Linked DNA regions of Saccharomyces cerevisiae S288C. The gene in region 2 interacts genetically with the main gene of each other region. Each region holds a gene or a part of one and is shown on either strand. Other genes may lie near its edges. The genes, in order: TRS33, VPS45, CEX1 and IMH1.

What was found.
Region 1: mutations in VPS45 (region 2) and TRS33 together harm fitness more than expected from each alone (negative genetic interaction), as found in Saccharomyces cerevisiae (2 studies listed by BioGRID).
Region 3: mutations in VPS45 (region 2) and CEX1 together harm fitness more than expected from each alone (negative genetic interaction), as found in Saccharomyces cerevisiae (2 studies listed by BioGRID).
Region 4: mutations in VPS45 (region 2) and IMH1 together harm fitness more than expected from each alone (negative genetic interaction), as found in Saccharomyces cerevisiae (2 studies listed by BioGRID).

What each region holds. Positions count from the first base shown.
Region 1 is NC_001147.6:538,159-541,060, reverse strand, and holds TRS33 (Trs33p), read left to right. Parts: upstream 1-1,595; coding exon 1,596-2,402; downstream 2,403-2,902. Other genes in the region: DNA-directed RNA polymerase III core subunit RPO31, read left to right, coding at 1-1,298; mitochondrial HMG-box protein CIM1, read right to left, coding at 2,607-2,902.
Region 2 is NC_001139.9:325,567-334,409, reverse strand, and holds VPS45 (Vps45p), read left to right. Parts: upstream 1-3,802; coding exon 3,803-5,536; downstream 5,537-8,843. Other genes in the region: PAN2 (poly(A)-specific ribonuclease), read left to right, coding at 1-3,292; TOS8 (Tos8p), read right to left, coding at 8,249-8,843. UniProt on the Saccharomyces cerevisiae protein: Essential for vacuolar protein sorting. Function in membrane traffic between the Golgi and the vacuole.
Region 3 is NC_001147.6:529,929-535,313, reverse strand, and holds CEX1 (COPI-interacting protein CEX1), read right to left. Parts: upstream 3,807-5,385; coding exon 1,521-3,806; downstream 1-1,520. Other genes in the region: AZF1 (Azf1p), read right to left, coding at 1-1,239; YOR111W (nucleotide diphosphatase), read right to left, coding at 4,187-4,885; transcription factor TFIIIC subunit TFC7, read right to left, coding at 5,066-5,385. UniProt on the Saccharomyces cerevisiae protein: Component of the nuclear tRNA export machinery that my collect tRNA from the nuclear tRNA export receptors of the aminoacylation-dependent export and may deliver aminoacylated tRNAs to the translation machinery pathway at the nuclear pore complex.
Region 4 is NC_001144.5:746,320-756,086, reverse strand, and holds IMH1 (Imh1p), read left to right. Parts: upstream 1-4,317; coding exon 4,318-7,053; downstream 7,054-9,767. Other genes in the region: Ras family guanine nucleotide exchange factor CDC25, read left to right, coding at 1-3,863; chitin deacetylase CDA2, read right to left, coding at 7,212-8,150; DPA10 (Dpa10p), read left to right, coding at 8,976-9,239; chitin deacetylase CDA1, read right to left, coding at 9,562-9,767. UniProt on the Saccharomyces cerevisiae protein: Involved in vesicular transport between an endosomal compartment and the Golgi apparatus.

The DNA.
Region 1 (2,902 bases), on a different chromosome or scaffold from region 2:
TAGGCCTATTAGAACCTCCTGCAAAAGAATTACAAGGTATTGATCCAGATGAAACCGTTCCTGATAATGTTAAAACATCTGTAAGCCAACTTTATAGAATCAGTGAAAAATCGGTGAGAAAGTTTTTAGAAATTGCTCTTTTCAAATATCGTAAGGCAAGACTGGAGCCAGGTACTGCTATTGGTGCTATTGGTGCTCAATCCATTGGTGAACCAGGTACACAAATGACATTGAAGACCTTTCATTTTGCAGGTGTGGCTTCCATGAATGTTACATTAGGTGTTCCTCGTATCAAAGAAATTATCAATGCTTCCAAGGTCATTTCTACACCTATTATAAATGCTGTATTAGTAAATGATAACGATGAAAGGGCTGCTAGGGTTGTTAAAGGTAGAGTGGAAAAGACACTGCTATCTGACGTAGCTTTCTATGTCCAAGATGTTTACAAAGACAACTTGTCTTTCATTCAAGTGCGTATTGATTTAGGTACGATTGATAAACTACAATTGGAGTTGACCATAGAAGATATCGCGGTTGCTATAACCAGGGCTTCTAAATTGAAAATACAAGCCTCTGATGTCAATATTATTGGTAAAGATCGAATTGCAATCAACGTATTCCCAGAAGGGTACAAAGCAAAATCGATATCTACATCTGCGAAAGAACCAAGTGAGAATGATGTTTTTTACCGAATGCAACAGTTACGTCGTGCGCTTCCTGATGTTGTTGTTAAAGGTTTACCTGATATTTCTCGTGCGGTTATTAATATTCGCGATGACGGCAAGAGGGAATTATTGGTTGAAGGTTACGGCCTGCGAGATGTGATGTGTACAGATGGTGTCATTGGTTCTAGAACTACAACTAACCATGTTTTAGAAGTCTTTTCCGTTTTGGGTATCGAAGCTGCAAGATATAGCATTATTAGAGAAATTAACTATACCATGAGTAATCACGGTATGAGTGTCGATCCACGTCATATCCAACTATTAGGTGATGTGATGACATATAAGGGTGAAGTGTTGGGTATTACAAGATTTGGTTTGAGTAAAATGAGGGACTCTGTTTTGCAGCTAGCCTCCTTCGAAAAGACAACTGACCATTTATTCGATGCGGCCTTTTATATGAAAAAGGACGCTGTTGAAGGTGTTTCTGAATGTATTATTTTGGGTCAAACGATGTCGATCGGTACCGGTTCCTTTAAAGTTGTTAAAGGTACTAATATATCTGAAAAGGATCTGGTTCCTAAGCGATGTCTATTTGAAAGTCTCTCAAATGAGGCAGCTTTAAAAGCGAACTAAAGTAGTCGTTTTTAAACTTTTTTATAGCATTTGTATTATTTTTCTACCACAGTCATTTAACGTATTTATACATATAAAACTACATGATAAAAACCATGAAACAAAATTTACTTATAAGAAATTTGCTTTCTTCACATTAGTAGAACCAGCGTATCGTTTTCAAAAACTCGCGTCAACGTTTTGAGACCAAAAATGCTAAATATTTTGGAATCTGGTATGCACTCACAAGCTGAGAGTGAAGACCTCATGCCATAAAAGAAAACATACACCGGTTATAAAGTTGGAAGATAAACAATTATGTCCTCTACACATAGTAATAATGTAGGACATCCCCAATCTTCTCCACAAGGTCCACTAACGGAACAACAAAGAGCACAACAGCAATATCAAATTTTTGAGAATTCATTACCAAAAGTAAGTCAATCTGTGTATCAGATGCTGTTGAACGAGATGGTTCCTCTAGCTATGGGCATTGAGAGGCAAATATCAGGCGATGTTATCAGTTCTGATAGCAATGTAACTTCCGAAAATGGTAACATCAACAATATGATAAAGAGACTGAAGATAGAGGAACATCATACAGTAGATATCATACGTTCTCATAACTTGATACATGAGCTGTATAAGGCGGATGAAGAGGAAAAAGAAAAGGTTTTAGCAAGACTGAGGAATATTGGGTTTCAAATCGGATTGAAGCTGTCAGAGTTATTGATATTTTCTAACAACCCAAATTTAAAATTCAAGGAAATGGACCTTCTATTAATAATGAAGTTCATTTGTAGGGATGTCTGGAAACAAATATTTGGTAAACAGATCGATAATTTAAAAACAAACCACAGAGGAACCTTTTACCTTCTTGATTATGACTATCGACCTATTCAATCATTTTCTTTGGAGGAAGATGCAAAAAACGAGGAGTTAAAAATGATAGAACCGTTTTTGGAGATACCTGTGGGAATTATTAGAGGCGTGTTGTCTTCCTTAGGTTATTCATCTGAAGAGGTCATTTGCTTGGCGTCTTTTATCGACAGGCCAACAGATAGGCCTAAAACAGCTTTTCCCAAGGGAGTTAGCTTCCATGTTCAAGTCACAATGCCGCAGTAAAGGTCCGACAGATTTTTGTTCTAAGAATGTACATCGACATATAGATAGATATAAGTGTGTATATAAAAGAACAGGTGACTCCGTTTTCAAAATAATACCCTTACTATAAAATCTTGACAATAATTTCTTTGATCAAGGTACATATAGTCTTTATGATAGTGAAGTGCTTTCGTGGACTCTTCTTAAAGCCCTAAAAGTCTATTGTCATTTCTTTTTTAGTAGGTACGTCATGGGAAGAATATTATTTGGTTGTGTATTTGTATCGTGATTCGCTGCTGTAAGATAGGACTCACTTCTGAGACCAAACTTTGACATGATATCCATGTTTTTTTGTAATATTTGTATCTCGTTATCCATCATTTCCTCAAATTTTGCCCTCCATACCTGTAATTTTTTTCTAATTTCTAGTTTCTGGTCATAGTCAACCTCTTCGTTCCAAGCATACCGGCATTCTTTGCACATTTGTTGAAACCTTTTCATATAATCATAAAGGTAATTTT
Region 2 (8,843 bases):
GAAGCCATACTTTCGCTTCGATAATAGGGATAAGGAAATTACAGCGATTAGCTTCGATGAGAAGGCAAACTTAATTTGGAGTGGAGACAGCTATGGTTGCATTTCGTCATATGATCCAACTTTTCAACTTTATACAAGATATAGGGGCCACATAGGTGGAAATTCCGTGAAGGATATTCTCAGTCATCGGGATGGTATTTTATCTATTAGTGAAGATTCCTTACACTTTGCTAATAGAAGAGGTGTTACTAAATTGAACCTCACTAGCATTGATATTGCTGCATTTAGCGAATTGAACACTATGTGCTATTCTCCTCATTCACTGAAAAACAATATCTACTGTGGTGGTGACAACACAAATTGGGGAATTGCGTCCATTGACTTGAACAGAGGTTGCTTAGATTCCCTCTTGAATTACTCATCTAAAGTGAAGTTAATGTGCTCTAATAATAAAGTTTTGTCTATCGGAAGACAAACAGGGACTGTGGATTTGCTAGATCCAACATCGAATCGTACTATCAAATCATTTAATGCACACTCTGCATCCATATCCGCTATGGATTTACGGGATAACACCTTGGTTACAGTAGGGAAGTCCAAAAGATTTTATAACTTATACGCTGACCCATTTGTGAATGTTTACGACTTGAGAACAATGCGTCAACTCCCTCCTGTTTCCTTTTCTAAAGGAACAACTATGGGATCTGGAGGCGCAGATTTTGTTCAATTACATCCTTTGCTTCCTACTGTTATGATCGTCGCCTCAAGTTCTGGTTCGTTTGATTTCATCGACCTTTCCAATCCAACTTTAAGAACACAATATGTTCATCCTTGCCAGTCGATTAAAAAGTTATGTTTGTCCCCCAATGGTGACGTATTGGGTATACTAGAAGCTGATAATCACCTAGATACATGGAGAAGATCATCAAACAACATGGGAATGTTTACCAATACCCCTGAAATGCTAGCATATCCTGATTATTTTAATGACATTACCTCTGACGGCCCAATATCTGTCGACGATGAAACATATCCATTGAGTTCTGTGGGGATGCCGTACTATCTTGATAAACTTTTGTCTGCATGGCCCCCTGTAGTGTTTAAAAGTGAAGGTACCATACCGCAATTAACAGGTAAGTCACCCTTACCATCGAGCGGCAAATTAAAAAGTAACCTTGCTGTGATCTCGAGCCAAAATGAGAAGTTGAGCACACAAGAATTTCCTTTGTTAAGATATGATCGCACCAAATACGGTATGAGAAATGCTATACCAGATTACGTTTGTCTAAGAGATATAAGGAAACAGATAACAAGCGGTTTAGAAACCAGCGATATACAGACATATACCTCAATCAACAAGTACGAAGTACCCCCTGCATACAGTAGACTTCCACTGACATCAGGTAGATTTGGTACTGATAATTTTGATTTTACGCCCTTTAATAACACTGAGTATTCAGGATTGGATCCAGATGTTGATAATCACTACACAAATGCTATCATACAATTGTATCGCTTTATTCCAGAAATGTTTAATTTCGTTGTTGGGTGTTTGAAAGACGAGAATTTTGAAACAACGTTGCTAACTGATCTAGGCTACCTCTTTGACATGATGGAAAGATCACATGGAAAAATATGTAGTTCTTCCAATTTTCAGGCGTCATTGAAATCCTTAACTGATAAAAGACAATTAGAAAACGGTGAACCACAAGAACATTTAGAAGAGTATTTAGAATCGCTGTGCATAAGGGAAAGTATCGAGGATTTTAATTCTTCTGAAAGTATTAAACGCAATATGCCTCAAAAATTTAACAGATTCCTGCTCTCGCAACTTATTAAAGAGGAAGCGCAGACAGTCAACCATAATATCACCCTAAATCAATGCTTTGGTTTGGAAACGGAAATACGAACAGAGTGTAGCTGTGATCACTACGACACTACCGTCAAACTTCTACCCTCCTTATCAATATCAGGAATCAACAAAACCGTAATCAAACAATTGAACAAGAAAAGCAATGGACAGAATATTTTGCCTTATATTGAATATGCCATGAAAAATGTAACCCAAAAGAACAGTATTTGCCCAACCTGCGGCAAAACCGAAACTATCACCCAGGAGTGTACTGTCAAGAATTTACCTTCAGTGTTGTCATTAGAATTATCACTATTAGATACCGAATTTTCCAATATAAGGTCGTCGAAAAACTGGTTAACTAGTGAATTTTATGGAAGCATCATTAAAAACAAGGCAGTTCTAAGATCGACGGCGTCCGAATTGAAGGGCACAAGCCACATATTTAAATACGAATTGAATGGTTACGTGGCTAAAATCACTGATAACAATAACGAGACGCGTCTAGTAACATATGTCAAAAAATATAATCCAAAAGAGAATTGCTTCAAGTGGCTCATGTTTAATGATTATTTGGTTGTTGAGATAACAGAGGAAGAGGCGCTTAAAATGACATACCCTTGGAAAACACCAGAAATTATCATATATTGTGATGCGGAAGAATTACGAAAACCTTTCTTTTCTGTTGATACGTATTCCATCAACTATGACATACTTTTCCGTGATTATTTCGCAAACGGAATAAGAGATACTGCAAGACGTGAATATAAGTTATTAACACATGATGAGGCACCTAAATCTGGAACCTTGGTTGCCATTGATGCCGAATTTGTCTCATTACAAAGTGAACTATGTGAAATCGATCATCAAGGAATCAGAAGTATTATTCGACCTAAAAGAACTGCTTTGGCCAGAATATCCATTATTAGAGGCGAAGAAGGAGAACTGTATGGAGTACCATTTGTCGATGATTATGTGGTAAACACGAACCACATAGAAGACTATTTGACAAGATATAGTGGGATTCTTCCTGGTGACTTGGACCCTGAAAAGAGTACCAAAAGGCTTGTGAGAAGAAACGTTGTATATCGAAAAGTCTGGCTTTTAATGCAGCTCGGATGCGTATTTGTTGGTCATGGTTTGAATAATGACTTCAAACACATTAATATTAATGTCCCAAGAAACCAAATTCGCGACACTGCCATATATTTTCTACAAGGAAAGAGATATCTTTCATTGCGTTATCTGGCATATGTGTTGTTAGGAATGAATATCCAAGAGGGAAATCACGATTCAATTGAAGATGCCCATACTGCCTTGATTCTTTACAAAAAATATCTCCACCTGAAAGAAAAAGCTATCTTTGAGAAAGTACTGAACAGCGTGTACGAAGAAGGAAGAGCCCATAATTTCAAAGTTCCAGAAACTTCAAAGGGATAATATGGTGCAGTGCCTTTCACGTAATCTCAAGAGCCACCAGCGCACCACTGGTTGGAAAAGTATACAAAAAATTCAAAAAAATTATAAAATGTTACCGGTGTTTGTGTACTATTATATATACTGTAATCAACATATGCAAACATTTTGAAACAGGTCTTGTTAAACCTTTTTGTCATCACACGCCAGAATTAGACTTCTTTGTGCGATGAAGTAATATCTATTACCAGAAAAGAAGGTCTTACCCTTGTTTGGCCTCTCATATGTTTCCTACTTGTTTCCCGGGCGTCCGTAACGAGTACTGACTGTATGGCGAAAAGTTGCCAGAAATGTTCATTTTTGTTTCTGCCAATTTCAGGAAAGGGTAACGTCATTACAGTTAGTTAACGTTCGAACTTACTTATAGAAGTGCCTTGGCTCATATGCAATGTACCCAGAGTAACATTAAGGAGTGAAGAGGTACAGTGACTTGGTTTTGAGTTAAGGCCATCTTTTACTGTATAGAACAAAGAAATGAACCTTTTTGATGTGGCTGACTTTTATATAAACAAAATTGTGACTTCCCAATCGAAATTGAGCGTAGCCAATGTCAATGAACACCAAAGGATTAAGGTTTTGCTGTTGGATAAGAATACCACACCTACGATATCCTTATGTGCCACTCAAAGTGAGTTGTTGAAGCATGAAATATATCTGGTAGAAAGAATAGAAAATGAGCAACGTGAAGTGTCCAGGCATTTAAGGTGCTTAGTTTACGTTAAACCCACAGAGGAAACACTGCAACATCTGCTGCGTGAGTTAAGAAATCCTCGGTACGGCGAGTATCAAATATTCTTTAGTAATATTGTCTCTAAATCTCAATTAGAACGGCTAGCTGAATCTGACGACTTGGAAGCTGTTACTAAGGTGGAAGAAATATTCCAAGACTTTTTTATATTAAACCAAGATTTATTTTCGTTTGATTTGCAACCAAGAGAATTTTTAAGTAATAAATTGGTTTGGAGCGAAGGGGGGCTAACAAAATGTACCAACAGCTTAGTTTCTGTGCTTTTATCCTTAAAGATAAAACCAGATATCAGGTATGAAGGAGCAAGTAAAATTTGTGAAAGATTGGCTAAAGAAGTTTCCTATGAGATTGGTAAAAACGAAAGAACTTTTTTTGATTTTCCTGTGATGGATTCGACACCTGTGTTACTAATTTTAGATCGTAATACTGATCCTATAACACCTTTACTTCAACCTTGGACCTACCAATCAATGATCAATGAGTATATAGGCATTAAGCGGAATATAGTTGATTTATCGAAAGTGCCTAGAATTGATAAAGACCTGGAGAAGGTCACCTTATCATCAAAGCAAGATGCTTTCTTCAGGGATACCATGTATTTGAATTTTGGTGAATTGGGTGATAAAGTAAAACAATATGTGACTACATACAAAGACAAGACACAAACCAACAGCCAAATAAATTCCATTGAGGATATTAAAAACTTTATTGAGAAGTATCCAGAGTTTAGAAAATTATCTGGAAATGTTGCAAAGCATATGGCTATAGTGGGGGAATTAGACAGACAGTTGAAGATAAAAAATATATGGGAAATTAGTGAAATAGAACAAAATCTATCAGCACACGATGCCAATGAAGAAGATTTCTCCGATTTGATTAAATTGCTACAAAATGAAGCAGTTGATAAGTATTACAAGTTAAAGCTTGCATGTATTTATTCTTTAAACAATCAAACCAGCTCAGACAAAATCCGTCAACTAGTTGAGATTCTGTCTCAACAACTTCCTCCAGAGGACGTCAACTTTTTCCATAAATTTAAATCGCTTTTTAGCCGCCAGGATAAAATGACTCAAAGTAACCATGACAAGGACGATATATTAACCGAACTAGCAAGAAGATTTAATAGTAGAATGAATTCTAAGAGCAACACCGCTGAAAACGTCTATATGCAACATATTCCGGAAATTTCGTCATTACTAACAGATCTCTCTAAAAATGCGTTATTCAGGGATCGTTTCAAAGAAATAGATACTCAAGGCCATAGAGTGATCGGAAACCAGCAGAGCAAAGATATTCCTCAGGATGTAATATTGTTTGTTATTGGCGGTGTAACTTATGAGGAGGCAAGGCTAGTCCATGATTTCAATGGAACGATGAATAACAGAATGAGGGTGGTTTTAGGAGGCACCTCTATACTTTCAACTAAAGAATATATGGATTCTATTAGATCTGCAAAATAAATAAGGATTATCTTATTCTAAAATTCTATTTTATATATGAGGCATAAATCTATATAACTTTTTCGATGCAGATAAAACATTTTACTATTGCCAAGCGAAATTAGGTTCTCATTTTCTTCATTCGGTGCCTAATAATTGCAACTTTGTTCGGTGATCCTTCTATGTGCATGCGTCATAATAACTTAACTGGAAAAAACTTTCTCAACTTACGACAAAAAACTCCGATACGGGGAGTCGAACCCCGGTCTCCACGGTGAAAGCGTGATGTGATAGCCGTTACACTATATCGGACAATAATTGTTGGAAAAATTCCATTACAAAGGTAAATTACTATATGGAAAAACTTTTACACCGTATAACCAATCATATTCGCGAGAAATTAGGCCAATATGAGAAGTTTTTGGAACTTCATTTTTATAAAGACTGTAATAGTTGGTTTATAAAATCATGCAGAATATACTAGGGTATTCTCCTCATGGATAGAGTAATCCGCAAAAGGGGAATCGGTATTTTTATATAATAATAGTATTAGCTCTTTTTTCATTCCCTAGTTATTCTTCTAAATGATCAATACTTGCATATCACCTTCATTAAATCTGAAATATATTTCGCAATCCTTATATCATATTTTTACATCATATATAATATTTGAATGTTAGGTGAATCTTGATAATTGTTGAGATTGCGTTGTTGATAAAGACTATAATATTATGTTACTACAAGTTCTTCTCGAGGATATGGAAATCCTCAAAATGGAATCGGTATTTCTACATAATAATATTACGATTATTTCTCCTTCCGTTCATTATGTTTCATTATCCTATTACATTACCAATCCTTGCATTTCAGCTTCCATTATATTTGATGACTGTTTCTCAATTTTTATGTCATCTTCTTACACCGCATGTGATAATATACTACTAACACGAATGCCGATAAACAGATGATATTTTAGAGTTCCATTCCGACAACAATATGTCAATGGTATGAACACTATTCGATAGATGATAGCTAATTCTTATTCCAATAGTATCATGTATATGACGCTTCATTGAAAACGAAGATAACGCTTGCCTTTATTTATTAAGGAAAGGCAAGTTTGTAGCGACTCTTGAGGGTTTTCAAGTAGCATGTATTACCAAAACGTCTTGACAGTTATAGCAAGGTAATTTGCTGTCTTCTCTTTGTTCCATATGTTAGAAACATTGAGTGTTTGTAGCGCCGCCAGCTCAGGTAGGTTTTATTTCAGTGTACTTATAAGCAAAAACGGATTGTATCATTTTCAAAAATGTATCTGTGGTCCATTTAGTGTTATTGCACACAATAACTCTTTTTGAGGGTTTTCTTGTGTTTTTAGATGAACATTGCTTTCCAAGGCTCAAAGGCTTCTTAGCTTTTGAGAGAATTGCTTGCAACTGTTACTCTTTTTGAAGCAAAAATTTCAGCTGCTAATTAAATAACAGTATAATCCATTAATGCGATTTTCAGAAGATGATGTGAAGTATTAAACCATTCGATGAAGTTAAAGCTAAGCTGCCATTAAATTCAGTGGACGCCCAAACAAAAGGACAGATGATACAACAGAATCAAAGAACGACTTTCTGAAGAGTGAAAGGCAAAATAATTATGGTATTATGTAGAGTTGTTGATTCTCTTGTGTGGACTCATAATTCAGGGGGATAAATAATGATGTCTTCTGTGTACCTAGCATCATGTATTTATTAAGTTTCGAATTCCAAAATTATATTCTTTTTAATAACTTCGTTTTAAAACGTGGCGAATGGCCTGAATTAATGGGATACTCCAACTTGCAACAAGAACTGTAATCTATTGAGTACCTTCTTGCGCTATAGGATAGAAGTAAAACTCACCTTTCTTCTGACGCAATGGCAAGAGTAACAACAATTTTCAAGACACTTAGACTGTTATCACTTTTTGTTTGCCAGAAACTTGCCTTATTCTGCACCTTTCAGACTGTCATATCTCCAAAAAAGTATCCTGGGACGGGCAGCATTTGATTCCTATGGTATACTCCAATACGTACCAGGAGAAGAATTTCTATTATCCATGAGCCTACAGAGATACAAACATAATGAACAAATACACCTACAAAATAATCTGTTGCATCAAAAAAAAAATCACCTGATTGAAGTTTATGTACCAGGTAAACTACGCAGAACAATAAGGTTGTACAGCCTGCCGAGTTATATTTTTCTTTTTTTCTCTTCTGATCGAGAATGAAAAAAAAGCCTGTAAGTGGGTTTATGATGTACAGAGGGCATGGTGCATTTTAATAACTGTTAGTATTTCTTTTGCTCCTCCTATCCAAGAAGGGAAAAATGCTTGGCGACTAGATATATGGTCTGATTTCGTTTCTTTTTCTAGTTGAAAGAAAAGGAAGAAAGGAATGACGGCAGAAAAAGATCTGAGAAAAGTGCGTATATTGAAGCTATACGGGGTATAAAACTTGATATACACGGTAAAAGAAAATACACTGATAACCATGATCATTTTCCAATTTAAGAATATTAAGGAGTAATTTTGTTAATCGAAGATTCTCACCAAAGTTTGTCTTTTTACTTTGAATTTTTTTTTTTTTTTTTTGGAATTTTTATTAAAATTACAAATTTCAAAGGAAAAGTCAACCTACCTCTTAATCTATCTATCTTCTATGCCGTAAACCCATTTTAGGTAATTCCGAAAAAAGTAAAATCAGAACTTAGCTAAATTTGTAGAAGAACTGAATTTTCTTCTGAAATTATTTGCGTCATTCTGGCCAGAAAATATTTTTCTTCTCCTAGCATTAATGAACCAATTGGAAATTTGAAGTTTAGTTAGACCAGTTTTCGCGAGCAGTTCTCTTTTTTCCTGCACGGTTGGGTAAGGGTTGTTTACGTGCTCATGTAACCATTTGTTTAGAATTGAAACGGTGGCCTTTGGTAAATTGGACCTCTTACCATGTGCCTTATGTTTTTTTTCTTTTGCGGAATATCCATTATTAGATCCGCGGACCGAGTTCGTACTTATGTTGCCGGATAGCATTTTACCTCGGGAAATGCTAATAGGCTGAGGATTTGTATAACCACCTATCATCATACTCTCATTTACCGGATGAGGTTGTGCCAGTCTCTGCTCTTGATAGAAATTGGGAGTTGAGATATGCTCATACTCGGGCTGCGAAGAAGTTACCGGAGGCCCCCCTACAGTTATTATGTAATTTCTCTCACCCGTAGATATAACTTCTCGGTTATTATTATATATAACTGGATACTGACGTATGTTTTGAGTCATAATAGCGTTGTGATTC
Region 3 (5,385 bases), on a different chromosome or scaffold from region 2:
ACTATTGCTTGTGGTATCGGTAGAAGCAAGGCTATGGTCCTCTTGGTTTGGGATATTAGTACTGGTGGCGGAATTAATACTATTGTCGTTATTATCATTATTGTTGTCATTGTTGTTTTCATTGTTGTTGTTGTTGTTGTTGTTGTTATTGTTATTGCTACTGTCATTGCCATCATCATTGTCAACTTCATTACTTTTTCCTTTCATGTTATTGGTAACATTATCCGCGACAGGATCACCATTAGCTTTGTTGTTAACGGATAGTGAGTTTAATCTTGATTCAGGTATAAACGCATTTTGGCTGCTATGGTCCAAAGTACCTCTAACAAAAGAATTCCGCCTTTTGAATTGAAAATCGAAATCTTCAGGATTAAACTTCAAAGAATTATTTCTTGAACTCAAAAAGTACGGGTTCTGATTAGAATTACTGTTGTTTGTACCAGTATTAAAAAATGATTCATAATCTGCATTTGTGTTCATATTCCCACTATTATTGGTGCCATTGGACTGGCTTTTAGTAGTTGCTGCAGGTATTAACAGTGGAGGTCTCATAGAGTTTGATTCTCTTCTACTGCTAGGCTGGAACTGCGGTTGCTGTGACTGCTGCATACTGAAAAATTCAAAATCAGGCCCATCATTAGGTCCAAGATAAACAGAGTTTCTTTTTGAAGGTGGCTGCGAAGTATTATCATTTCTTGGTAAAAATTGATATTGAGAAGAACTTCCCGTTAATCCCGTCGAAAATGAAGGGGTCTTGAAGGGAGGCTGCTGGTGCGACTGCTGTTGTTGTTGTTGCTGCTGTTGCCGATGCTGATTTTGAAGCTGCTGTTGTTGTGGGAAGAGGTTGTTTACAATGGAAAAGCCGCGTCCGATTTGCGACAGGTCTGGCGGTTGATGTGTACTTGAAGTGGATAATCGTGGAAGATTGGAATAGGCGCCGCCAGAACTAGGTCCTCCTGTACTTGTTACTGGTACGTTATCAGATATGTTCAAGAATGAGTTGATAGAGGCGTCCGTGGAATATCGTGGCTGGTTGAAATTTGTATAATATGAAATCGACTCATTCCTTTGTTGTTGATGTTGCGGTTGAGAAGAAGCCGGTTGACTTTGATTAAGAATAGGAGTAGGGCCTTGCCCATGCTCCTGGTTTTGCTCCCCAGCTTCGCCTGATGATTGATTTTGGCTTTCATTTTGTCCCGCCTGCGTAGGGCCCATGAACTGTGCAGTTGGAGGAGGCATGGCTGGTAATTTTTCAATATCTGAATCTTTTGAAGTATATCGCTTGTGTAGCTGTTTTTGTCCCAATTAATTTCTCTGTGGGACCATCTATAGTACTACAAGGTTCCCTTTTCTGATGACTCTTCTTGCTTATGCTTCATTTCTACTGGAATTAAAGGGACCCTTCTTTTCCTCCACTTCTCAAAGAAGCGAAATCGCGGGGCACGGGCGTAATGTTTCTAAATAACGATTAACACTGAATATATCCTTCTACAATACGTAGGGCTATATAAGTCTTGGGATCACCAATTCGTATCCCAGGAGTCTGAATCCCCATCATCATCCCAGCCGTCAACATTTCCTTTCTTGGTTACCGAGCCGCGGATACTACTTATAGGCTTACTTCTTGCAGTTTTATTGGACAGTGACGATTTGGTGGTAACAGTAGAGTTACTAGCAATGTTTCTTGGTGCTAGGATCGTTGTTTTCTTCTTCTTGATAGAAAGCCTTGAGCTAGGAGCGATGGATTTTGCCAACGTTGAATTTTGTGGCCTTGTGTGTTTTTGAGGCACCTTTGATGGGCCGCTTTCATCTTGAATCCAGCCATCATCATTCAACTCATCATTCCAACTTTTATTAATTTTAATAGGTTTTCCGAATAATTTTGGGGTGCTTGCGGTTGTTACAGGGTTTGTTGTTTCATCGAAGGATTCTGTGGTACCATTTGTAATAAAGCCATCGGTATCGCTGAGGTCGTCCCATCCACTTCCATCCTGGGCGGAATCAATTTCGCTCTCGGTAATGTTACTTGGTGTTGTTGCTGAGGGAGAATTTAAACGTAAATTATTTAAAAATTGTGCGGCTAACAAATTGTCTTCTTTATTCATATCCTCTTCATCACAACCGTAATTCTCAAAATCAATATCTTTCACATCTTCCGAATCTGCAGTACTATCGTTTGTTTGAATAAGTTGGGCTTCTTTTTCCAATTTTTCCAGATATTCTTCGAACAGGATTTTGGCTCTGCCTCTTACTATGGGACTTTTATCTAATAAACCAGGGGCAATGACTGTTAAAATTTTGTTGGCGATTGTGTTCACATCAAACAGCTCAATCGACTTCTCAAGCCCATAAAGAGCAGCCAATCTTGGTTTTACTTGAGGATCTTTCAAAGATTTTGTGAACGCCGTAGCTAAAATATTCGAGCGATTACCAACTGACGTTGATAATATGGTTGAGATTTTACTTATTATGATGACTGTCCATGTTCGGATTTCAACGTCAGAATCAACCTGTGTTTTTGCGAGAAACCTCAGTAGCTCATTATTCAGTTGTCTCTCTGTTAAACATGACACAATGCATGGAATTGTCTTCAGTGTTTGTAATCTAAGAGTGGCATCAGAGTCGGTCAGACCTTGGATAAAATGTGGATATATCCTACTGGAGATCTCTGATTTGCTCAATGGACCTATTAATTTGGGTAGGTATATTAGTAAAAGAAATCTTACTTGCCTATCTGGCAGTTTAAAACTTTGGGTGATAAGGTCGTTGAAACCAACTGGAAAGGTGTTCGTTTCAGAAGTTAGGTCTAAAACAATCGCTAAGAATGGTACTAGTTTATGTGATGCGTTGAAGTTCATGCCTATAGGGCTGGCAGCACTACTGATGCTTTGTGTCATTAATAATTTTATAATTTCACAAAGCTCTGGAATAATAAAATTTTCTATCATTCCAGGCGTTAAATTACGGAAAATCTCTCTTGACTCTAAATACAAATTTTCCAAGTTTGACATCACAACCAATTTTCCCTGTGGGTCCTTTATATGCAACTCCCTCAATTCTTGATAAAAGTTTATCAAAGGATTAGAACGCCAAGTTTCTGTATTTTCTAGCCTTTTTCTGAAGTTTTCGATTGTTATCTTTCCATCTGAAATCATATTTACATTGACAATCCAATCTTTGGGCAGACAAGAAGGAGCCATAAGGCTCTTTATCAACAATCCTAACCCCATTGAATCAATTGTATTCGGATCTTCACAGGGCAACTGTGAGCCAATTATGTTGTAATATGACCTCGCTCTACTGGCAAATTCAAACGCACTTAATCCTTCTTTGCTTGAACAAAGTTCTAGCCCAAATAGTACCCACTCTCCCTTAATATTGATAAAAACAGAATCTTTAGAAAGCGTACCAAGGACAAAGTTTTTTAAAAATCCTAAAGTTGCCAATAATTGTGATATTCCTAATTCAACACCAAATTTGTTTTGAGATAAAGAGCCTAGATTATCCCAAGGAAATGGAACTACTCGTTCGGTAACAATAAATGTGGATTGGGGGTCGGAATCAAATGTCTCCAGCACCGTACAAAGTCCTGGAATCTTCAAAATTTTGCTCTTGTGTACAGCATTTAAAATTAAAGATTCATTTTCTGGAGATCTTTTTGCCTTAAAAACTGTTACTGGCAAGGAATCTGCCTTCCTTGTACCATCGAAACATTGCCAAAGGGCGGTTTCAGTGATTGCAGTTTCCTCTATGGTGTATGGGAACTGGAAATTCGAAATAGATTTGAAAATGCTGGAAAAATTCATCACTTACAGATACTTGTTCACCAATAAAAGCAACGATAGTAACAGTGTCAAACTCTCGACTAAATAACTTGACGATATTATTGTTTTTAAGATACTTATATTTAATATAATCATAATATAAACAGACAAAGAGAAAGGGCCTTTTTGAAGGTGAAAAAAATAGAAGATGTGCGCGAAAGCGTGAAATTCAAAATGCGTATTGCTTTAAACTTTCTTTACCATCAATCGAAAAACTGTCTCGTAGAATGTTAATAGCCGTGTTATTTAGCGCATGTATCTATTCACCAATGTGGCCTTTAATATCCGTTCCACTCATTCTTCTGGTGTTGCAAAGATTAACATAGTTAACTGAGCAACACCAAAGAAAACCTAAACGAAGGTTATATGGAATTAGCCTCAGCATAGAGTCCTTTGAACGTTTTATTGAGCGGTAAACCAACTACGTTATAGTAATCACCTTCAATTTTTTCAATTAGAATAGCACCTTGCCCTTGTATTTTAAATCCACCGCCAACCTCCAGCCCATCTCCGCTTTCTACATATTCTTCCAATATTCTCAAAGGTATTTTGTTATCAAAGTATACCTTGGTTTCATCTCGGAATGGTACCAATTCAAAGTTTTCTCTGCCGTACCATTTAATTAAAGTCACAGCGGTGACAACGTTAACTGGTTCATCATCTTCATAGCAAAACTTCATTAAAAACTTCTTTTGGACCTCTTTTGTTTTAGGCTTCTCGTAGATTCTCCCACTCTTATCTATAATAATTGTGTCTGCACATATGATAAGCTTAGGTTTATCAATTTCATTTGGGTTTTCATCTTCGTAATCTGTCAAAATCTCGATTATATTCTGCGCTTTATGCCAGCTAGTATCGCACACATATCCAATCGGATCGGTAGAATAATTCATTTTATCAAGATTCTCTTCAAAAGTAGAAACCATTGTTTTTAAATCGGTGATTCCCATTATATCGTGTAAAATTTCATACCTCCGTGGAGAGGTGCTGGCCAAAATGATATCATACTTAGAACATATAAACCCGATTACGTCGGGTGGCAGTTGACTATTTCCAGACATTACGTTTGGTGAATGTGCTCTTTTTTTGATGCGGTCAGATGTTCCTTTCTTGTGTTCAACTGGGTTATTTTGCCCTTACGTCTCTTCACGCTTTTCGTCTGGTAAAATACACGAAAGGTAATAAACAAGCAGATGCACCTGTGTTCTTTAAATAAGGTTGCTGCTGCTACAAAATACATATTACATAGGGCGGACATTGCTTAGCACTATCCTCTCTTTTATTCTATAAATCTTTTCTGATTGAACCTCTTCTTTATCTCCCGTGTGATCTCTACTTGTGTTAGTTGAATCCGGTAGTCCAACGTCTTCTTCTTGTATTTGTATGTTTGGGTCGTTGGCAGTCGATGAGCCTTTACTTTGACCAGCATTTGTTGTTTCATTCTCTTCAGTCGGTGATAGTAGACCGGCTGTCTTTTTATGTACATGTGCAGCATTTGGGAAAGCAAGCTCCGTGCCAACAAGTCTCTCCCAGCTTCCCTCATACAATCTATTTCCGATTC
Region 4 (9,767 bases), on a different chromosome or scaffold from region 2:
CCGATTACAAGTTGGTATACTATAACAAAGACCTTGATATATACTGTTCAGAATTACCCTTGATTTCTAACTCAATTATGGAATCCGATGACATTTGTGACAGCGAACCAAAATTCCCGCCCAATGATCATCTTGTTAACCTATATACTAGAGATCTGAGGAAAAATGCGAATATTGAGGACAGTTCTACGAGATCGAAGCAATCGGAAAGTGAACAAAATAGATCAAGCCTTCTAATGGAAAAACAGGATTCAAAAGAAACTGATGGAAATAATAACAGTATTAATGATGATGATAATAATAACGAAAATAACAAAAACGAATTCAATGAGGCTGGTCCTTCATCATTAAATTCTTTATCTGCTCCAGATTTAACGCAGAATATTCAATCAAGGGTAGTTGCCCCAAGTCGCTCTTCTATACTGGCCAAGAGTGACATCTTTTATCACTATTCAAGAGATATAAAATTGTGGACAGAATTACAAGACCTAACAGTTTATTATACTAAAACGGCTCACAAGATGTTCCTTAAAGAGAATCGTCTCAATTTCACGAAATACTTTGATTTGATATCAGATTCAATAGTCTTCACACAGTTAGGCTGCAGGCTAATGCAACATGAAATTAAAGCCAAAAGTTGCAGCAAGGAGATTAAGAAGATTTTCAAAGGTCTAATCTCTTCATTGTCAAGGATAAGTATCAATTCTCATTTATATTTCGATTCAGCTTTTCACAGAAAAAAAATGGATACTATGAATGACAAGGATAACGATAATCAGGAAAATAATTGTTCTAGGACGGAAGGGGATGATGGTAAAATTGAAGTAGATAGTGTACATGATCTAGTTTCAGTTCCATTGTCCGGTAAACGTAATGTAAGTACCAGTACAACGGATACATTGACTCCAATGAGATCATCATTCAGTACAGTCAATGAGAACGATATGGAAAATTTCTCAGTCTTAGGTCCAAGAAATAGTGTTAATTCTGTCGTAACACCAAGGACTTCAATACAAAATTCTACTTTGGAAGATTTTTCACCGTCCAACAAAAATTTTAAGTCAGCTAAATCGATTTACGAAATGGTTGATGTGGAATTCTCGAAATTTTTAAGGCATGTTCAGTTACTTTATTTTGTGTTACAGAGCTCAGTCTTCTCAGATGATAATACTTTACCACAGTTGCTCCCAAGATTTTTTAAAGGTTCATTTAGCGGTGGTTCTTGGACAAATCCATTTTCGACTTTTATTACGGATGAATTTGGTAATGCGACAAAGAACAAAGCTGTCACATCTAATGAAGTGACCGCTTCGTCGTCCAAAAATTCCTCAATATCAAGGATTCCACCAAAGATGGCAGATGCTATTGCCTCTGCGTCAGGATATAGCGCTAATTCAGAAACAAATTCCCAAATTGATTTAAAAGCAAGCAGTGCCGCGTCTGGTTCAGTTTTTACACCTTTCAACCGTCCTTCTCATAACAGAACCTTTTCAAGAGCAAGAGTTTCAAAAAGGAAGAAAAAATATCCATTAACTGTAGACACTTTGAATACAATGAAGAAGAAATCCTCGCAAATTTTTGAAAAATTAAATAATGCTACAGGTGAACACTTAAAAATTATAAGTAAACCCAAAAGCAGAATTAGGAATTTGGAAATAAATTCAAGCACATACGAACAAATAAATCAGAATGTTTTACTATTGGAGATACTGGAGAATTTAGATCTGTCAATTTTCATCAATTTGAAAAACCTGATTAAGACACCCAGTATTTTGTTGGATTTGGAAAGCGAGGAATTTTTAGTTCACGCCATGTCTTCGGTCTCCTCAGTACTAACAGAGTTTTTTGATATAAAGCAGGCTTTTCATGACATCGTCATCAGATTAATAATGACAACGCAACAAACGACCTTAGACGACCCGTATTTGTTTTCCTCAATGAGGTCCAATTTCCCTGTCGGACATCATGAACCTTTCAAGAATATCTCTAATACACCTTTGGTCAAGGGCCCCTTCCATAAAAAAAATGAACAATTGGCACTCTCCTTATTTCACGTATTGGTGAGTCAAGATGTGGAGTTCAATAACCTTGAATTTTTAAACAACTCCGACGATTTTAAAGATGCTTGTGAAAAGTATGTCGAGATTTCTAATCTTGCGTGTATTATTGTTGATCAATTGATTGAAGAAAGAGAAAATTTGCTGAACTACGCAGCAAGAATGATGAAGAATAATTTGACTGCAGAACTATTGAAAGGTGAGCAAGAAAAATGGTTTGATATTTATTCCGAGGACTATAGTGATGACGATTCAGAAAATGATGAAGCTATCATCGATGACGAATTAGGATCTGAGGACTATATTGAACGCAAAGCTGCGAACATAGAGAAAAACCTTCCATGGTTTTTAACTTCAGATTATGAAACTAGTCTTGTCTATGACTCAAGAGGAAAAATTCGTGGCGGGACAAAAGAGGCACTGATTGAACATTTAACCAGTCATGAACTTGTTGATGCGGCTTTCAATGTTACAATGTTAATAACTTTCAGAAGTATATTAACCACAAGAGAGTTTTTTTATGCCCTGATTTACAGGTACAACTTGTATCCTCCTGAAGGGCTGAGTTACGATGATTACAATATTTGGATAGAAAAAAAGTCAAACCCGATTAAATGCCGTGTGGTCAACATTATGAGAACATTTTTGACGCAGTATTGGACAAGAAATTATTATGAACCTGGCATACCACTGATTCTAAATTTTGCCAAGATGGTTGTATCGGAGAAAATACCGGGGGCAGAGGATCTTTTGCAAAAGATAAATGAAAAACTGATAAATGAGAATGAGAAAGAACCAGTGGATCCTAAGCAACAAGATTCGGTATCGGCAGTCGTACAGACAACTAAACGTGACAATAAATCACCGATACACATGTCTTCGTCTTCTTTACCATCTTCTGCTTCTTCAGCGTTTTTTAGATTGAAGAAATTGAAGCTCTTGGATATTGACCCATACACATATGCCACACAATTGACTGTACTTGAACATGACTTATACCTCAGGATCACTATGTTTGAATGCTTGGATAGGGCATGGGGTACCAAGTATTGTAATATGGGTGGTTCTCCGAACATTACGAAATTTATAGCTAATGCTAATACGCTAACTAATTTTGTTTCTCATACCATTGTAAAACAGGCAGATGTCAAGACACGTTCAAAATTAACGCAATATTTTGTTACCGTTGCCCAGCATTGTAAAGAGTTGAATAATTTTTCTTCAATGACTGCCATAGTGTCCGCTTTGTATTCCTCCCCAATCTACCGACTGAAAAAGACATGGGATTTAGTTTCCACTGAGTCGAAGGACCTTCTGAAGAACCTAAACAACCTTATGGATTCCAAGAGAAATTTTGTGAAGTATAGAGAGCTGTTGCGATCCGTGACGGACGTTGCATGTGTTCCCTTTTTTGGTGTATACCTATCTGATTTAACATTTACGTTTGTCGGAAACCCAGATTTTCTTCACAATTCAACCAACATAATAAACTTCAGCAAGAGGACTAAAATCGCAAATATAGTGGAGGAAATTATAAGCTTTAAAAGATTCCATTACAAGCTGAAACGATTGGATGATATTCAGACCGTTATAGAAGCGTCTTTGGAAAATGTCCCCCACATTGAAAAGCAGTATCAATTATCACTGCAAGTGGAACCGAGATCAGGAAACACCAAAGGCAGTACGCATGCTTCTTCTGCTAGCGGTACAAAAACTGCAAAATTCCTAAGTGAATTTACAGATGATAAAAATGGCAATTTTTTGAAGCTAGGTAAGAAAAAACCTCCTTCTAGGTTATTTCGATAAAAGTTTATACAATTTGCTAATCAAGAAGAACCTTAGCTTTATGTTTGATTGCTACACTCTATTATTTAAGATGGCTGCTTTTACTTAATATTCTTCGTGATAATACTGTACTGGTGGAGTGTTTTTCGTTTTCGAGGATTTGAGAGTACGCTTCATTTGCAGTTCTTCTTGATAAAGTTCGTTTTATATATATATATCTATTTTATATCTTTATATATTTTATTACACCCAGTTAAGTTATCGATCCAAGATTTTAAATGCCCGATTAGAGGAAACTTATTACCTGAAAAAATATCAATTAGTGATTCTATGAAAAGCTATTACCCGCATTCTCATAGTTCGGATTTTCAGATCCAGCAATATAAGAGAACCAAATGTAGCAGAAACGTCAAATAGTAAGCAACAGGAGTTACATTTGAGGTGATTTTAACTTAGGGAAACATTTGCTGATTCAATGTTCAAACAGCTGTCACAAATTGGTAAGAATCTTACCGATGAATTAGCGAAGGGCTTAGCCGATGATATGAGCCCTACCCCGTCAGAACAACAAATCGAAGATGATAAGAGTGGCTTGCCAAAAGAAATACAAGCTAAATTAAGAAAATTTGAGAAATATGAACAAAAATACCCTTTGCTACTCTCCGCATACAAAAATGAAAAATTAAAGTCAGAGAAGTTAGAGGCTGTTGAAAAGATTTTAGCGGAAAATACACCCATATCTAATATTGACGACGCAGTGGATACGTTGCCAGCTTTTTTCCAGGATTTAAACAACAAAAATAACCTATTGAATGATGAGATCAAGAGATTAACTAAGCAGAACTCGGAAATTCCAGAAAGCGCCTCTAGTGAAACTCTGAAGGATAAAGAAGAGGAATTTTTGAAAAAAGAGCAAAATTATAAAAATGACATAGACGATCTAAAAAAAAAAATGGAAGCTTTAAACATAGAATTGGATACTGTACAAAAAGAAAAAAATGATACTGTTTCAGGTTTGAGAGAAAAAATAGTTGCACTGGAAAATATACTAAAGGAAGAAAGGGAGGCCAAAAAACAGAAAGAAGAAGTATCTATATCCGAACTGAAGGAAGAATTGGCTATAAAGAACCATTCTCTCGAGGACAGTCGAATGAAGATAACCGAATTGGAGCAAAATTTGTCTTCGAAAAGTACTATAATGGAGGAAAAGTCCTCAGAGTTGGCAGAACTAAATATTACTTTAAAAGAGAAAGAGCGCAAGCTGAGTGAATTGGAAAAAAAAATGAAGGAGTTACCGAAGGCGATATCTCATCAAAATGTAGGAAACAATAACAGAAGGAAAAAGAATAGAAACAAGGGAAAGAAAAATAAGGGAGGCATAACTACGGGTGATATCAGTGAAGAGGAAACGGTCGATAACTCAATCAATACTGAAGAATATGATAAGCTTAAAGAAAATTTGCAAGAATTACAAGAAAAATATAAAGATTGTGAAGATTGGAAGCAAAAGTATGAAGATATAGAAGCAGAACTAAAAGATGCTAAAGAATTGGAAAACTCACAGCTCGAAAAATCAGCAAAGGAGCTGGAAACCCTTAACACCGAGTTGATCGATACCAAGAAGTCATTGAAAGAAAAAAATTCGGAGCTAGAGGAGGTGAGAGATATGCTGAGGACTGTAGGCAATGAGCTTGTGGACGCAAAAGATGAGATTAAAGAGTCTTCGAGTAAACAAAATGAAGAAGTGAAAACCGTTAAGCTGGAGCTCGATGATTTACGCCATAAAAATGCAACGATGATCGAGGCCTACGAAGCTAAAAATACTGAGTTGAGAAGTAAGATAGAGTTATTGAGCAAGAAAGTAGAGCATCTGAAGAATTTATGTACAGAAAAGGAGAAAGAGCAGACTACATCGCAGAACAAGGTAGCCAAATTAAATGAGGAGATATCTCAACTTACCTACGAAAAATCAAACATAACAAAGGAGCTTACTTCTTTAAGAACCTCTTATAAACAAAAGGAAAAAACTGTGAGTTACTTGGAGGAACAAGTTAAACAATTTAGTGAGCAAAAGGACGTGGCTGAAAAATCCACAGAACAGCTGAGAAAAGATCATGCTAAAATTTCTAACAGATTAGACTTATTAAAAAAGGAAAATGAGACACTGCATAATGATATCGCAAAGAATTCTAATTCCTACGAGGAGTATTTGAAAGAAAATGGTAAATTATCGGAAAGATTGAATATTTTGCAAGAAAAATACAATACCTTGCAAAATGTAAAAAGTAATTCGAATGAACACATAGATTCTATCAAAAGACAATGTGAGGAACTAAATGTCAAGTTGAAGGAATCTACAAAAAAAATTTTATCTTTAGAAGATGAACTAAATGAATATGCTAATATTGTTCAAGACAAAACCAGAGAAGCTAACACATTGAGAAGGTTAGTTTCGGACAGTCAGACAGATGATTCGAGCAAACAAAAAGAGTTGGAGAATAAATTGGCCTATTTAACGGATGAAAAGAATAAATTGGAAGCAGAATTAGACTTACAAACATCCAGAAAGGCCACTGAATTACAAGAGTGGAAGCATACAGTAACTGAGCTGAAATCGGAAATACACGCTTTAAAGCTTCGTGAAGAGGGACTAAAATCAGAGGTTGACGCATTGAAACATGTTAACAATGACATCAAAAGGAAGACTCAAGCCACTTCAGATGATTCCGATCAGTTGGAACAGATCACATCTAATTTAAAACTCTCATTGTCTAAGGCTGATGAAAAGAATTTTGAGCTACAGTCTGCCAATGAGAAACTTCTGAATTTAAATAACGAACTTAACAAGAAATTTGATCGATTACTAAAAAATTATCGTTCATTGTCCTCTCAATTGAATGCTTTAAAGGAAAGACAATACAGTGACAAGTCAGGAAGAGTTAGTAGGTCTGGTTCTATCGGTACTCTAGCTAACGCGAATATTGATTCCTCACCAGCGAATAACTCTAATCCAACTAAATTAGAGAAGATACGATCATCAAGTTCATTGGAGTTAGACTCTGAGAAAAATGAAAAAATTGCATATATAAAAAATGTTTTGTTGGGATTTTTGGAGCACAAGGAACAACGGAACCAATTACTTCCTGTAATTTCTATGTTGTTACAACTGGACAGTACTGATGAAAAAAGACTGGTTATGTCTCTGAAGTAAAAATGTAGCTGAAAGCAGAAGATACGTATATATTGAAACAGTTTTTTTCTTCCTGAAATATATCAAGAAGTTGCTGCATGTCTATATATAAAATACTAAAGCAATTTCTTTTTAAATTGTAATTTAATTCTTCCTTATTTTCTTCAATTCCCTGAAAATTAGGACAAGAATTCTTTTATGTAATCAATTCCGCCGACACAATGAGAAACTGTTGATTGATCATCACCTATCAACTTATTTATTTTAATGGCAAGATCGACAGTTTTTTCCGTTGAATCGTGTTCTAATATTAATCCGGTTCCTGACTTGTTCCAGTTTATTACATTTTGAAGAATTTCTTGTTCAGTTATGACAGAATCATTGAGAAGGAGGCTCCAATCAAAAGTATCGTGATCCCATAAGACGGCTTGTAAGCCAAATTGCCTTGTTATTGCTCTTACTCTATTATCTATTCCGCCATATGGAGGTCTGAACCATTTGGGGGTATGGTTGCCAGTAGCATTCATCGCCCAGATGGACCATTCAATTTGAGCTATAATTTTTTCATTCGATACATTTGGCAAATATACGTGAGACCAGGTATGTGAGCCGATTAAGTGTCCCTCCTTTTGCATTCTTTGATAGATATCTGGATGTTGAACTATATTGACACCTAAATTGAAGAAGGTGGAATTATGCTTCAACCGGTCCAATAATTTAGTAGTGGAAGCAGAAGGACCATCGTCAAATGTCTGGGAAAGTTTGGAACATGTGTACACATCATCGTGTTCGGTGCAGTGATGGCAATCGAAAGAGCACGAGTCCCTTGGAACACTGTCGCAATGGTTTTGATCATATTCCTTATAATCTGGAATTTGACTGAAATCAATGAAATCTAAAGGTATATAAGGTGGATCTAACCCAGGCCATTCTTTTAACCCGGTAAATGCACTAAGCCAATCCGGAAAAGGCGTTTTTGTAGCTGCCCTTTCCAATACAGGAAATTGAAAGTCTATCTGCTTTAAATCTTCCCTATTAGCTTCCGCGTGAACAAATTGCCCCAGACAGGAAAGTGCAATAATACATTGCAAATCAATTGTATTTAGTTGTATTCTCATTTTCAATTGCCGATCCGTAGAAATAATAACAACTCTTTTGCAGTTTGTTTACCCACTGTGGGTTTTTGATAAATAATAGAGGATTACTGAAGGAGAGAGAATATTTTAAATGGATTTTGATAATACTACAAAAGAATAGCCAGTAATTTTTGCGTTGCGTCACAAAATCAAATATCTAGTTTGTTCCCTGACGCATGTTTCTCATGTGTTACCCGTCCTTTTGTAACCTTCACTGCTACAGCCGTACTATGTGGCATTTATGGGTTAATAGAAAGTTCCATTAATCCGACATTAAAATTGGATGGATTAATGGAGAACACAAAGGCAAAAAAACAATGGAAGAACAAAGAAAATTTAGCGGAAGTAAAAATAACAGCCGAAAGCCAAATTCAGGCTTATCTTGCCTACTCTTTCTTTTATCGAATTCCTTTAGGCCGTTGCAATAGAAAAGTAATAAAAACGCATATACGTAAGTTGTAGTCAGTGTAATTGCAATCTATTATGCGCATCAGGTGCGCATACTACATCCATTGGTGCACAAAAAAAGGAACGCAGACAAGAAAATTATTCAGTTTGCTGTTCGTGATGAGCCATCCCTGAATATGACTAATGTTAATGTTCAATTTGGGATCTTATTTTTTTTTGTGCAGTAATAAGAATCTTTGAAAAAAAACTATATAAGCCTATATAGTTTGTAAGATATAAGACAAAACACACCTGCTTTTCCACTACACATTTTCGTTATTATATAAAAAAGACAGCCAAGTATACTTGTCAACAAAATAAACTCATAGCAATTACACTATAAAAACAATAGCATCAAAAATGTCACTAAGAAACATATCAATGATCACAAAAAATTTGCAAACAACTGCCAAGTGTTATGTCCCAAAAAGTTCACCTACATCAACAACTATTCCGGTTATAAGGGATGCTAGTACTACTCAATGTCGCAGAATAACTACCGTCATCAATATTACGAGTCTGAAAGGATATTCTCCATCTCCAAGAACAGTTCATGATAAGCCAATTGTTATTTGCACTGACAACGAAGAGGTAGAGACTGTATCGGAGCACGTAAAAGTATAATTTGAATTAATCTACTCTTAACACTGTTCAAATGTACGTGTAACGTTTTGACGCTAAAAGATTCTAAAAAATTACTTTTTAAAGTTATACCCTCTGACTTTATGTGACATCAGCATCCTAAGTACCTACCGTTCATAATTTGACGCTTTTCCTTATACATTCAAGCATCGATATATATGATTTTTATATATGTCCTCTATTCTAATACATACTTTTTTACTTTTGAAATAACAAAATATTCTTTTTATTTTTGCGAGTTGAATAATTAAATAAGAGATCAAAGATATATAGAGAGAAACTTTATTTCTCGGAAATCTTACTTCTAGTCGTAGCGTTCGATGTAGTCTGTATCACCAATACATTCTGCAATTGTCAATTGGTCACTACCAATAAGTTCGTTGATTTTAATAGCAACCTCAACTGTTCTTCGTGCACCATCGTGCTCTAAGATCAAACCTTTCCGTTTTCCCTTCCAAGTATTTATGTCCATAAGTATTTCTTCCTCTGTTCTGAAATCATCATTAGTGA